Linked DNA regions of Cricetulus griseus. The protein of the gene in region 1 purifies or fractionates together with the protein of each later gene. This does not show direct contact. Links are inferred from orthologs where the notes say so. Each region holds a gene or a part of one and is shown on either strand. Other genes may lie near its edges.

Evidence for each region. Proteins that work in one complex are often made in the same cells at the same time.
Region 2: the proteins of Acvr1 (region 1) and Tgfbrap1 purify together in Homo sapiens (co-immunoprecipitation; 3 studies listed by BioGRID and IntAct, counting the BioPlex papers as one, with this or other methods). This does not show direct contact. The link is inferred for Cricetulus griseus from reciprocal best matches to the Homo sapiens genes ACVR1 and TGFBRAP1.

Annotation. Positions count from the first base shown.
Region 1 is NC_048599.1:116,424,953-116,431,444, reverse strand, and holds the end of Acvr1 (activin receptor type-1), read right to left. Parts: intron 2,430-6,492; coding exon 2,299-2,429; intron 1,612-2,298; coding exon 1,477-1,611; 3' UTR 399-1,476; downstream 1-398. UniProt on the Homo sapiens protein: Bone morphogenetic protein (BMP) type I receptor that is involved in a wide variety of biological processes, including bone, heart, cartilage, nervous, and reproductive system development and regulation.
Region 2 is NW_023276807.1:5,438,862-5,446,483, forward strand, and holds part of Tgfbrap1 (transforming growth factor-beta receptor-associated protein 1), read left to right. Parts: intron 1-3; coding exon 4-147; intron 148-2,467; coding exon 2,468-2,614; intron 2,615-3,383; coding exon 3,384-3,543; intron 3,544-5,027; coding exon 5,028-5,461; intron 5,462-7,243; coding exon 7,244-7,420; 3' UTR 7,421-7,622. UniProt on the Homo sapiens protein: Plays a role in the TGF-beta/activin signaling pathway. It associates with inactive heteromeric TGF-beta and activin receptor complexes, mainly through the type II receptor, and is released upon activation of signaling.

The DNA.
Region 1 (6,492 bases):
TCTAAATCCCACCTTCCATGCTGTTGTAGACAGAAAGAAAAAAAAAGTGAAGGGCAGACTCCTGAGCCCTATGGGGTAACAGGCTCTGCACTCACTGGGACCCAGCACTAGACAACAGCTGTCCTCCTTTTCAGGATCACAGCCCAGGGTGGGTAACAAGCAGAGAATCTGCACATAGACTTTAAATGAGGGAGGCCAAGGGAAAAAACCCTAGTACAAAAGAATGGGGGGGGTGGTCTCCAATTCAAACTGTGAGCTAGCTCCTTAGATCCCCGGGCTCCTTACTCCCCTTGAAAAGCAAATTCAATTTTCAAATTAGTTTTTTTGTCTCTACTCCTCCTCAAAGATAGCACATTAGATTACACAGACCTTTTTTACACATTAAAAAAAAAACACCATTTGACTTGAAAACAGTTTATTTAATTTATACAAATAACTACGAAATACAAAAAGTAGATTAAAACAAAATAGTTATTTTTTTTTCTGGCAGAGTTTAAATGCACATAATGGATAATTCTGAAGAAGATGCATTTTTTCCCCCACAGCGTTTGGGACTAAAATTCTACTGAAATCTTTGCTTCTAAATCAGTAATATATTGGGTGGTGTCGTATGGGTAATGACTAAATACGTTCTGCATACGAACTGAAAAGAAAGTTACAGTCTACACACATAAAAAAAAATGTGAAGCACTTAAAATGTGAATTTAACTGATAATAAAAGAAAATGTCCATTTCAGAGTCTAGTGTTAAAAACATTTCGGTAATAAAATCATAAGACCACATAAAAATAAGCTTTAACATATGCATGAAGCAGTTTTGTAAAAACTGCTAAGTGCACAAGTAATAAATAATTTGCAAAGTTGTGTATAAACAATTCCTAATGTTCGCATCGTTGTAAACATCAGCACGTGTGTAAAATGCAGCAGAGTCTAACATTACATTTTTTGTTTTGCCAAATTGAATTCCTATTATCCAAAGATAGACCAGTGGAGTACGCAGCCGATGTTTTGGCAAGTTGGGTCTTTAAAATTAAGGGTAACAGTGCAAGTAAGGAATGCACAGAATTCCTAGTGCAACAAAGAAGAGTAGTGCAGCCAATATTGCTGATTAAGAATTCACCACCTCCTTGAGTTTCCCGTGGGGAGTGTCTAGGAGACCCGTGAAAGATATGCAAAGCCACTGTCTTAATGCCCAGATCTCTTGCAGGATCTCTCTGTGTTCCTCCAGTCCCCTCCCTTTGCAACCGTATCTGCCCACCATTAGTCTCTGTGGTGGGAACATTTCACCAAGTGCCCAGGTCACAGTTTTTGAGCGAGGTTAGGGTGATTTCGGTGTCTCCCTGGAACAGAACATGGCTGGGAGAGACGGCTGTCGAGAGGGCGACCACAGTTCTGTTCTGACTACTGGTCAGGCCAGCATTAGGTCCCAGCTGGACAACGACAGTGTTGACTCTTCCTTCTTGACACCGTGAAAATGTCAACAGTCAGTTTTTAATTTGTCTAGGGAATTATCAATTTTGGTCAAAGTCTTTTTGATACGCAGAGCTGTGAGTCTTGCAGATGGGTTCTGATACCAGCATTCTTTCATAAGCTTCGCCAGGGAAGTTAATGTCTGGGGAGACAAAAGAAACATCACACACACTGGCTTTTTAGTGGTGCTGGAGACCGGGCAGATGTTGTGTCAATTGTTTTAAAGAACCCTGAAGGTCTTGAGAAGCTGGCCACAATATAGCCGTCTTCTTTAAGCAAGTACTCAAGGCCTTAGCACCAATGGAGAAGCCATGCAGTGTTCTCTGAACTTCTTTTGGAACTTACTTTATCAGATAAATGCCATGGGCCAACTCACAGCCCTTGGATTTTATGGCTGCTAAAAGTAACACCACTAACTCAGAGATAAGAGTGAAATTGTAGAAGTGGTCTTGGATATGCTACTACTATGAGCACCAATTCAGGCTCCTCAGCATCAAGCAGCCTGCTTTTAGAATCTCAGGTAAGCAGAGATGGTCAAGAGTTAATTACCATCACGCAGTCTCTTGGTTTACACATACAGCTGCAACTTTAGGCAATGGCAGTGAGTGATCTCGTTCTCAACACTGGTCACACATGGACACTCATGTGACTACTGTCACTCATTAGCAACCGATTGGGCTTCTTCAAGAACTATACCACTTTCCAAACCCATGCAACTAGGCTCTAGGAACCTACATAAAGACATGTAGAAGGGTAGCTGCATAGTGCACACCATGTAAGCTCCAGGAAGCTAATAATTGCAGGGATGAACTAATAACAGTGTGCTTACCGGGTCTGAGAACCATCTGTTGGGTATGTTTGGCCTCTGTTGATCCACACAGACAACTTTCCTCATATCTTCAAAACTTGGATCATTGGGAACAACATCATAGAATGGTGGCTTGTAATCTTCCACTATACCTGTGTAGACCAAGATGAGAATTATGTGGGTTAGCAGGAGAGTTTACAATCCCCTCCCCAGGGTTTCACTGCTGTGTATCATTGTCAGGAGTTACAATGGGACAGGATAAAGTACCATTCATCTTTTTCCTATGTCAAGGCAGCTTTGGAAGCCACAGACAGGCCCAAAAATAAGTTGAGAGCAAGGCAATAAATATATACCCTGCAGGAAATCGGAAGTATGAGACGAAGACAGAAAATCCTCTCATGAAATCACAAGTACTAACATAGAGCTCACAGCTGTCTGTAATTTCGGTTCCTGGGGATCCCACACCCTCTTCTGACCTCCATGGGCATCACACACACACACACCACACACACACACACACACACACACACACACACACACACACACACACTCCACATGTTGCACAGGCACACATGGGCAAAATACTCATGCACATAAAGTTACAGTTAAAAAAAAAAAACTTTTTAAAAAGTATCTGCCAGCATCAAGAAGGCAAAAAACAAATCAAGACCATCATCCAAACCACTTTTTTTGCTAGGAAGTTATTTTGTCCAAAAAGTCATCGCTTTCAAATAATGCCATGAGGGGCATGCAAATAATATGATGTGAGGTCCTCATTTCCCCATCACTCACTCTGCACACAGGCATGTCCTCAAACTACTAAGCTTAAGTGTCTGTTTGGTGATTCCTGCAGTCATTATCAGTACCTATCTTTTAACAAAGAAGATGAATTCCACAAATCAATTTAAAATTTCACCATATGGAATTATCAAAGTGACCGCCCTCTTACATTCAAGAACCAGGGAAATTACTACTTGGTTTTCTTCATCAACAATGCGGTCAGTGACTAACTCAGCGGCTGGCCCTTTTCCTTCTTGCGCATAACTCACTTCTATTCCTAGACACACAGGCGCGGCTGCAGGGGACAGAGGGAAACTGTGAGTAAAAGGTATAACTAAGCTTTTGCAGTTCTTGCAAGCCCCTTAAAAGAGCTTTAATCCCCTTTTCGTTTGTCACAGAGGTTAGTGAGAATCCACTCGGACCAATTTCACATAAATACAAACCACTTATGCAGAAGCTCAGAAATAAGGAGCAGCTGCTCTAGAAATACTACAGGGTTTCTAAACCTCACAGAGTTTATTTTTAAAATGGAAAGTAGTCTAAATTGTATCTTAAAAATTCTAGTTGACACTTTGTTAATTCTAAATAATGTAGCCATGTTATTTAGTTGCATCTGGGATATGGATGCAAATTAAACCTTTCTTGGCAAACATCAATTGCATAAACCATGGCTCACAGGAGGTGGCTACATTTTCTCCAAACCTTACCTATTTCTCTTGTAAAGATCCCGGAATACTTTCAAACAAAAATGTCTTCCGTTTTCACTTCTTAGAGAAATCACCCCAAACACAACTGAACATCAAGCTATTCCATCTTTTGTGGAGCTGGATATGTTCACAGGAAATGGACAGCCAAAGTGCTATTCACCATCTCTCCATTTATACACTGGGATACACTACATAGACTGGCCTAATTCTTTAAAAATGTAGCATAATCACTGGCTATTTGAGGGTAACTTATTCAGTTAGCACCAAAAGGGTTATGTGAATTTGCGCAGTAATGCAACACACACACACACACACACACACACACACACACACACACACACACACAGACACAAATCAAACATAGGTGTATATTTAAAACATAAGACTTAGTGAGTCCAACAATGCACACTGCCATACAAAACCCTAGTCTACTTGTGTTTCTATTTTTCATATTTTGAGCTTATTAAATGTTGTCATGTGTTAACAAAAGGAACTGAGATTTTCAAACAAAGACTACTTAATTCAATGTGAATGGAAACCTCAGTCATGTCTCTCTTTCTTCAGTCATTGGCTCAGACTCATGATTTCCATCTGACTCTGGCTATGCTCCTCAAAAAGATTAACTAACATAAAAAAAAATACTCTGGGATTAAACTGCAACGGTCTTCTTCAGGAAACTCACTTTGGTACAGAATGCCATTTTTCCCCTATTGGTCAAAAATGCTTTGTATCTATTATGAATGAAATGTCATATTAAATATGTTACATGCTGAGAGAAATCACCATCTAGTGGAAGATAGCACAAGTATCTCTTTTTCCTTTAGACAATATAAATCTTGTACAAAAGTATCTGAAAAATGTTGCTTGCTGGTATGTGTTCATACTTGGGAGGGGGTTGTATAGAGCTAGAAGTCAAATCCAGGTAATGTTATTTGAGTGCCATCTACTTTTTTGTTTTGCTTTTTCTGTTATGTCTTGTTTTATTTGAGACAGTCTCTCTCACTGGTCAGAAGCTTGACCGGTAGACTAGGCTGGCTGGATAGCAGCAGGCTCTGGAGACATCCCTGTCCCTGCCTCCCCAGCACAGGGACTACAAGCATGCACCATCATGCTTGTACATCTATGTAGTGTCCTGGGATTGAACTCACATCCTCATGCAAGTGCTGTACTTGCTCCCCAGCTCCCTCAACACCTTTTCACAGCACTATTTGCTTTTACTTGGAAGGGAGAAATCTTATGTTTATGTGTTAGCTCCTATATAGATTCAATAGTCATTTGATCCATTAACTGTGTATTAGAGGCTGAGCCTGGCAGCAGGGATACAGAAATGAGGAAGATGGAGTATTGGTGATGAACAACAAAACAAAATAATGGCAAACAGATGAAAAGAGGAACATCAACTAGTATTACAGACAGGAGCAATGGGATAGAGCTCAGAGAAAGGGACATGTGTGGTTTCCTAAGTAGTTTCTAGAAACTGGGTGGTGTCATGGAAGCGAAGATGTTCCAGGCAGGGGGGCAAAGATAAGTAAATATGGGATGCAGAAAAGAGGCCAGGAAAAGAAAAACCACTAGAGAGAGGGTATTTTCCAGGTGTAAGGTGTTTACAGACCCCAGAAAAGATGAGAGAAGTCCCCTGTGAGTGAAACTGGTGTATGTGGTAGACAGAATCGGGAAGGCTAGGGTGGAGGGTGGACTGAGCATTTAGAGTGTGCTAGATAAAGACTGACTGACTTAACAACTGCTCCTCACCTTCTGCATGAATGTGACAATCTGTTTGGCTAAGCAAAAAAGTGAAGCATGAGTCCCAAGGATGCAGCACTGGATGAGCTTTGCCACACCCTGAACCAGCTGAGAAGATACCAAGAATGAAGGAAAACAACTAAAAATACACACCTCTAATCTCAGCATTCTGGAGGCAGAGGCAGGCCAAGCTCCATGTCTGAGGCTAGCCATGTCCAAGGCTAGGTGCCATAGCTAGCCAGGGCAACATCGTGAGACACTGTCTCAAAATAACAAACAAAAGAACAGATAGATACACAAGTGCCAAGTGGGTGGTACAGACAACAAATGATAAGAGGGATTCAGAGAAGAGGTGACATTAGACAGTTGTCAAAGATGAAACAGTCAGCCCTGGCCTTCCCATTAAGGCTGCTGGTGACTCAAAAGGACATGGACAAGTAGATTATTCATAACTTCTTCCCCCACAGTTTTGGGCATGTTCAGTTAATTTGTATAACTGGTGTCCATGTATTGTGCCCCTGCCCCCTGGGGGTGCCACATACCTCTAATGGAAAGTTTTCTGTTCTTTGAGGCAAATCTGTCTTTCCCAACAGCCCTAGCTCTAATACGCTGCATGGCTCCGAGGAAGGCCCTGAGCTCTCATGCCACAGTTTTCCAAATCTTTAAAATATACATTACAAAGATCATGTGCAAATCAACAACACCCACTCCAGGAAGTACTAAGAACAGCTGTGTCCAGAAATAAGAGCTCCCTGGAGATTCTGTCATGGTGGAGGCCTTAGACCACACCCACACAAAGGGTAGTTTGCATAGTTTATCAGCTTCACATAGCCAGTTCCTGGTCAGTCTGGGATACCAAAGTGGGGAAGGAGGATGGAAGGGAGGGAGGGAAAGAAGGAGGGAGGGAGGAAGGAAGGGAGAGAGAGAGGAGAGGGAGAGAGAGAGCAGAGGGACGGAGACAGGGAGGGAGAAGGGAGGGAAAGAG
Region 2 (7,622 bases), on another chromosome or scaffold:
CAGTTGTGGGTGAACATTGTGAACGGGGACATCCAGGACTCCACACGCTCAGACCTGTATGAATACATCGTTGATTTTCTTACCTACTGCTTAGACAAAGAGCTGGTGTGGACACACGCTGACTGGCTGTTGCAGAAAAGTGAGGAGGTTTGTGTTTCATAATGCATTCTCTTCAGAATGGCTGGTAAAAGACACCTAAGCCCCCTCAGCTTTAGGTGGAAGGGGAAAAAAGCTACACTCATTCTCCCCATTTACTTTGTACCATTTTGAATCCCTTCCTTTGTGCAAGAGCAAATGCCATAGTGTGCTGCTGCTGAGATCCTGCAGATGCCTCTCTAGAAATACAAACTGCCTAGTCTGAAGCATGCTCCCTAGTCTGCAGCATGCTCCTGGTGTTCTGAAAACACTCTATAGTTCCCTCTTCACTTGCTGGGAAACAGAAGTCTGCATTTTGTTTTCTGGGATGGGAGCAGGTTGTTCCCTGCTCCCAGGAAAGACCTGCACAGCCTGGTCTTTCAAGAAGTAGACCCCAACTGGGCCACATCAGGAAGAGCACCGTCCTCTTCTGTTTCTGTCTCTTACTTAGAGGCCCTGGACATGGAGGTGTGAAGTGGCCTGACCATGACCTGCCTCATCTTGGAGTCTGAAACAATATAGTAGTGAAAAAGCAACTGTTGGCTCTTGGCTGTAGAGCCATGGTTCTCAACCTTCCTAATGTTGAGACCCTTCAATACTGTTCTTCATGTTGTGGTGACTCTAACCCTAAAATTCATGGCTGTAATTTTGCTGTTGTTATGAATAATAATGTAAATATCTTATATGTGACCCCAAAGGGGTCACAGCTCACAGGTTGAGAACCACTGCTCTAAAGACAGGCAGCATGCTCAGGAGAGAAGGACACAGACCTTAATGGGGCCCCACAGGTCACTCTCACAAAGTCAGCAAGCATAACATTTCCTTGGCCCCCCTTGGAGACACAAGATCAGACAAGTTCAAGGCAGGGCAGGGCAGACTCTCCTGCTATGCATTCTACTTCCTGAGCCAGGTCAGAGCCCTTATGCCTTCTATATTGAAACATTTTTAAATTACATTTATTTGTGTGTATTTGTGCACATACATGTACATATATGTACCACTTTGTATGTATGATTGACAGAGGACAGCTGAGGTCTTCATCTTCCTCCAAGCATTTCCCTTGAATATTTGACTGGAGTCAAATTTTACTCCAGTCAAATATTCAAGCTTGGTAGCAAGTAACTTTACCTGCTGAGCCAGCTCATGGGCCCCTCCTTGTATATTTTTTCTTCCATTCTTCCTTTACCCCTACACATGCCTACAGAACACACCAGCACATGTTCTTGTGGTGTGGATACAGTGTCATTGAAAGGGTTAAGTTCTATCCACTCACTGGGCAATCATAACCAAATGCACAGATTCTGTGTGCCACATCGTGGCCCACCACTTGACCTTTGTCATTTCTTGAAGAGCAAGGTTCACAAATGGGGTTAACAGACCTTTAATCCCAACACTCAGGAGGCAGAGGCATGTGTATTTCTGTGAGTTCAAGGCCAGTCTGGTTTACAGAGTGAGTTCCTGGACAGCCAGAGCTACATAGAGAAAGCCTTGAAAAAACCAACCAACCACTACCACCACCAACAACAAAACCCTAAAAACAAGACGGAAAACAAAAGGAAAAAAACAAACAAATAGCAGAGCTTTTCAAGGTCATGTAGACAGGCAAAGCTGAGACACAAATCCATACCTGGAGCTGGGTCGTGTTTCTCGTGTTTGGGGTTCAGATGTTATGTGGTATGTGTGCATGTAAACCTGTGGGCATGCAATAATACTTGCACATGTAAGTGTACGGTGAACCCAACAAGGAGTAATGGTCTTCTTAGTATTTTCTCAGAAGGCAGGATCGGTCTAGAGTGCTCCTCATTGCTGACACGGGAAGGCAGCCTGGAAGCTGTTCAGGGATGACAGGCTCAGATGGTGGACTAGCCAAGCACAGGAAATAATCCCCTAGCCAGACAATGCATTCAGAGAACCAAGAGTACACTGCATTTTCATTCTTTTTGGATTTTTTCTCTCTTAAACTTTGCAAGGGACAGTCTCTATTTAGGATAAGCTTAATAACACAAGTGTTTGCTGCATGGCTGTCAAAGCCTATTTATTACCAGTGACTGCTCCATTCGTCAGTTGCCAACCATTCTACGAGAAATCCCAGCAGTGAGTGGGGATTGTTTCAAAATGCTGGCCTTGTTCCTGTCTGCATTGTGTCCTTTGTTTGGTCTTTCTCAGGACTTCTTGCTAGACTGTTTTCTTCCATATTTTTGAGATGAGTGTGGCGTATGAGAAGCTGCACCTGCTTAATCCATCAGCATATTCTGCATGAAGTTAGCCAAACCATAAATGTTAAGTTACTAAAGGAAAGATGGAGAAAACTGAATTGCTGCTCTTTCTGCAGATCGGAGTTCAAGTTTTCACCAAGAGACCCCTGGATGAGCAGCAACAGACTAGTTTTAATCCAGATGACATTATTCGTTGCCTTAAGAAATATCCTAAAGCCCTGGTTAAATATCTGGAGCATCTTGTTATCGACAGGAGACTACAGGTGAGCACTCAGAGGCTGGACCAAGGTCCCTGGCAGGCTACAAAGTCATTCACAACTTAGGATAAGGAATCTGACTGTCGCTTTTGGGGCTGATGGTGTCCCTCGGTCACTCCATCTGTTCTTGTTGATTATTTGAGGGAGTATGAGCCTTAGTGGAAACAACCGGGAGGGACTAGGTAGATGTTTGTATCTCCAGTCTCATAACCACTCCACTTCTCTTTGTTACCATCCTCAAAGAAAATGGGAGAAGCTACATCACTTGTAGAATACCAGAATGATAATAACCCCTTCATGTGTCCCCCCCCCCCACCTGTGTTAGTCTTCTTTCCATCATATGACAAAATACCCCAGGCAATTAACTTAAGGAGGGAAGGGGTTTGTTTGGCCCCACAACCCTGGAGCTTTTGATCTGTGGCAGGTTGTCCCATTCTTTTTGATGAAGCATCTTGGCAGAAGAGGGCAGTGCCATGACCAGAAAGTCAGGAGGGCAGAGCAGAGCATTTGTTGAGGTTCCATTGTCCCTGCTGTGGTCCCACTCCTTCCCATTGGCTCCATTCCTTCCAGGTTCCATCCCCACTGCCCCCAGTAGCTTCCCATGGACTTTGGGGGCACATTCAGCATCCACGCTATAGCAAGTAATCCCTTCTTCTGTGTTGGGGTTGCTGGGGGTTTTCCAGTGCCCTGATGGTGTCCTGCCCACCATGTTTAAGAATCCAGCACAGCCTCCCTCATGTAAACACTGTGTCTGGCGCATCCCTGATTTCTACAGAAAGAAGAGTACCACACCCACCTGGCCACCCTCTACCTGGAAGAAGTGCTGAGGCAGAGGGTAGCCACTGGCAGCAAGGACATGGAAGCCACTGAGACTCAGGTCAAACTCCGGAGGCTGCTCCAGAAGTCTGACTCATACCACGTCCACTTGTTGAAAGGTGAGGATAAGCTTTGCATCCCAGTGAGAGACTTCTTTGGGGCTGGGGCTGGGAGCCATTGTCCCAGAGTACATTTGGGTCCCATAGGGTGCTTCCTTGAGCCTTGAGCCCCTTTTCTTTCCTCAGAGCTGTCCTGATGAGTTTTGGACTGAGCTTTAAAACACCCACGATTCAGGTCTTTCTAATGATTTCAGTACCTTCATCACTCAGTATCCTTGGAGGTGTCACGTGGGCCCCCAGGACTCCCCAGATCTGCGATGCTCATGCCCTTGAACGTCATAGTCTGAGCATAGAACCTGTGTAGCTCCCATCTGCTAACCTTTGTACCTCTGTCTGTGCCTTAAATATGGCAGCCTCCTAGTAATTGTTTCCTGACATTCCACTGTGGGCAGAATGGCAATGCATGTGTGCTGTGGTGTCTGGCTGCTGCTCTACTTGACACAGGCTATACAGCCAGCCCGTTACCTCCAGGCTGGTAATATCTGCCTCGGGAATTAGGCCTGAGGAGCAGCCCATAGTGGCCAAACTACAGATACCAGTGCCTATCATTTAGTATTAAACTTGGCCCTCAACAGAGAGTTGGCCTGAGATTATCCTATTGCAGCAGGGAAAGATCTTGTGTTGTTCCCTATTTCATAGCCCACAGAGGAGCAAAGTGACCTTGGGTAGTGAGACTCAGCCCATCAGCCCACTAATGGGGAGCCTTGATGAGGACTGACATGCCTCTGGGCTGTGTCATTTCTAGAAGCTTAACTGCAGGGGGAATAGAGGAAAAGTTTTTAGATCTGCAGACACTCATTGGATAATACAGATAGGATTTTTTAAAATACCTTGAACCCATGTTCCTTTCAGTGAAGCGTATTTTAAATTGGAACAAAGGGCATTGAACATGGCTTTGTGAGTTAAGTGGATATTTGGACTTTATCCATGGGTTCTGCATCTGTAGATTCCACCAACTGTGATTTGAAAATATGTCCCCCTAAATATCATAGCCTTACGGTCAGCCATGTTTACACTGTATCCTAAGTCCTCCAGAGGTGATCTTAAGTATAAAGTGTTAGTTACTGGAAAACACTACAGGGAATTTGGGGCTCTTTCTGAGAGAGTCTTGACTCTAGTTCCCCTGAAGACACAGAGGGAGGGACAGTTGTTCCCCCGTGTGTTAGTCATAAGATTTCATACCGGAAGATAGAGTGATGCTATGGTAACTGCAGACCAGAAGATAGGGTTCTAGCAATGCTTAGGGACCTTTTGAGACCAGACTCACCCATTGGTTCATAGCAGTGGAGTCTGTCCAGTTTTTCTATGACTCAGAGTCACCAGGGGAAAAATCCAAGGAGCCACCTCCCTCAACCATCTAGGTGGCAGTATTTAGCAATGTCTAGAGTAGCTGCATAGCCTGCGCTTTCTGAGGCTGTAGGAACAAGCAGGTGGCCTCAGCCAGCCAGCCCAGTGTGTTACTGAGTGCCAATTTTGTCTGACAGAGAAGATCCAGGGTGCTGGCCTGCCCATGGAAAGTGCCATCCTCCACGGGAAGCTGGGCGAGCACGAGAAGGCCCTGCATATTCTGGTGCATGAGATGGGGGACTTCTCTGCAGCTGAGGACTACTGCCTATGGGGCTCTGAGGGTCAGGACGCAGCCTGCCGTCAGCGCCTTTTCCACACACTGCTCGCCATGTACCTCCGTGCAGGCCCCTCTGCCCATGAGCTGACTGTGGCTGCTGTGGACTTGCTGAACCATCACTCCAGGGAGTTTGATGCCACCCAGGTCCTACAGCTACTGCCTGATACCTGGTCAGTGCAGCTTCTCTGCCCGTTCCTCACAGGGGCTATGAGGGACAGCATCCATGCCAGGAGGACCACACAGGTGGCTCTTGGCCTGGCCAAGTCAGAAAACCTGATTTACACATATGATAAGGTGAGTGCCTGGCCTTTGTGCTAACTTGCTTCTCTGCAAGCCCATTTTGCACGAGAAGTGAGTTTTTAGCCTATGAAAAAATGGTCTTGGTTAGTTCTTATTTCTATTCTACACGTATTGAGTGTTTCCACCAAGATACAGGGATCTATGTGAGCAGACGCAGAGGCTGCACTGGCAATATCAGTGAGGCCTTTCCCATTGGGACACAGGTAATCATGCAGCTATAGAGCTGGATGGGGTCACTCACTGTCGTCCCAGAACTTGGGGGGCTAGGCAGGAAAATGGTCAGGACCTCAAGGTCAGCCTGGGGTTCATAGTAAGTTCCAGACCAGTGTGGGCTTCAGTGCAAGACCCTGTCTCAAACAAACCAGGAAAACTGTGTAGGGAGGGCGAGTGCTATAAGAATAGTGACGCGGCTCCCCAGATACATTCTTTATGCCTTTTGGAGCACTTTATAGCATCATGGTGGTGTCTCTTGGTGTCCTCTCTCGTGCACAGAGGACAAAACTGAGCCTGTGACAGTCACATGGAAGAGCCCAGAAGGAAGTACCTTCTAGGCCAGTTCGGAAACCCACATGGCTGGCTGAAACAGCAGGAATCATTTATTGTCCCACACATAAGCCTTCCTTAAGACCCTGTGGCCTGGGAGATTCAGTATCACCTCTTTCTAATTCCTTCTTGCTTCCCAGTGCATGCCCTGGCTTAGCTGTCTGGCCATGTGGTCTGCTGCCTTACCTCCTATCCTTGGCAATGCTGACTCCACCACCTGCAGTAGTTTTCCTTTTTCTTCGTGAACACCCAGTCAGCATTTGGCCTGACTCTTTTTCTCCACCTTAAAGCCTTAAGCTTTAAGTCTTTTGCCTACCCACACCCCTTATGTGTGCATTGACAACTTCCTCTCTTACTTTTAGATATTGAGGACAGGAACCTTTATTTATGCTTCCCTAGTGCCAATCCCAGCATGCTGCTGGGCTGCATGTTGAGAGTACTAGTTCATGCAGGAGAATTCCCTGAGTTGCTGCTTGCCCCTGTCAGTGGACTGACTTGCCCAGACTGATGGAGAGATTGTATAGAGAAACTTCAAGTTATGCAACTCAAGTCCTAATTATCAGACTAGGACCAATAGTGACAGGTACTGTTTCTTACTAACTTTCAAAAAATGAAATTGTGATGTGGGAATGTGCCACTAATTAACTGAGTGACTGTGGCCAAATCCCTGATTTGGGTCCTTCTTTTTATATGCAAATGAGGGTCTTACTTGGTCCCTGATACTCAGCTCTGATAGCCATGCTCTTGTGTCAGTCTGGGGTTAAGACAGCCAGCGCTTTGAGAATGCTGAAGGGAAGAGTTTGTGTAGGAATTTCCAGGCACAGTGGTTACTTTAAGAAAACTAACTCCTGGGGCTGGAGAGATAGATGGCTCAGAGTTGAAGAGCGCTTACTGCTCTTGCAGAGGACCTGGGTTCAGTCCCCAGCACCTACACAGTGGCTCACTTCAGTTCCAGGGGTCTGATGACCTTTTCTGGCTTCTGCAGCCACATAAACTCATACAGGCACACAGAGATACATATAAAAATGACTAAATCAATATTTAAAAATAAAAGGAAAGCAACTCTGCTGCTTCCTCTGTCTGCTCACTAAGAATGGTTCTGTTTATTTCCATTTCTTGTGTCCTGTGTCAAGAAGTTGATGGGGTGCAGTCCTGGCAGCGATCATCGTCCATGACAGAATGTGCATCCACCCTGACTCAGCCTCCTCACTATTTATTGCTTTCTGTTTGCAGATGAAGCTGAAGGGAAGTGCAGTCCAGCTCTCTGAAAAAAAGCTTTGCCAGCTCTGCCAGAACCCTTTCAGTGAGCCTGTGTTTGTCAGATACCCAAACGGAGGGCTTGTGCACACCCACTGTGCTGCCAGCAGACACACGACCCCCAGCTCACCCAGCCCTGGTACTCGGACTTGAAAGAGCTGGTTCCAGGCTGCAACGGGGATTCTGAGTTCTTTTCCAAACCTGCTTTGTGCCAGCCAGCTAGAACAAAGGGAAGGCATCTGGGTGCCAGGGAAATGCTGTCCCTGGGAAATGATGGCACATCACCACTGATTGTTCTTTGTGTGGAATGTAAACGGAAAAGGCCTGAAACCCTGAGAATAGTGACAGGCCAGAG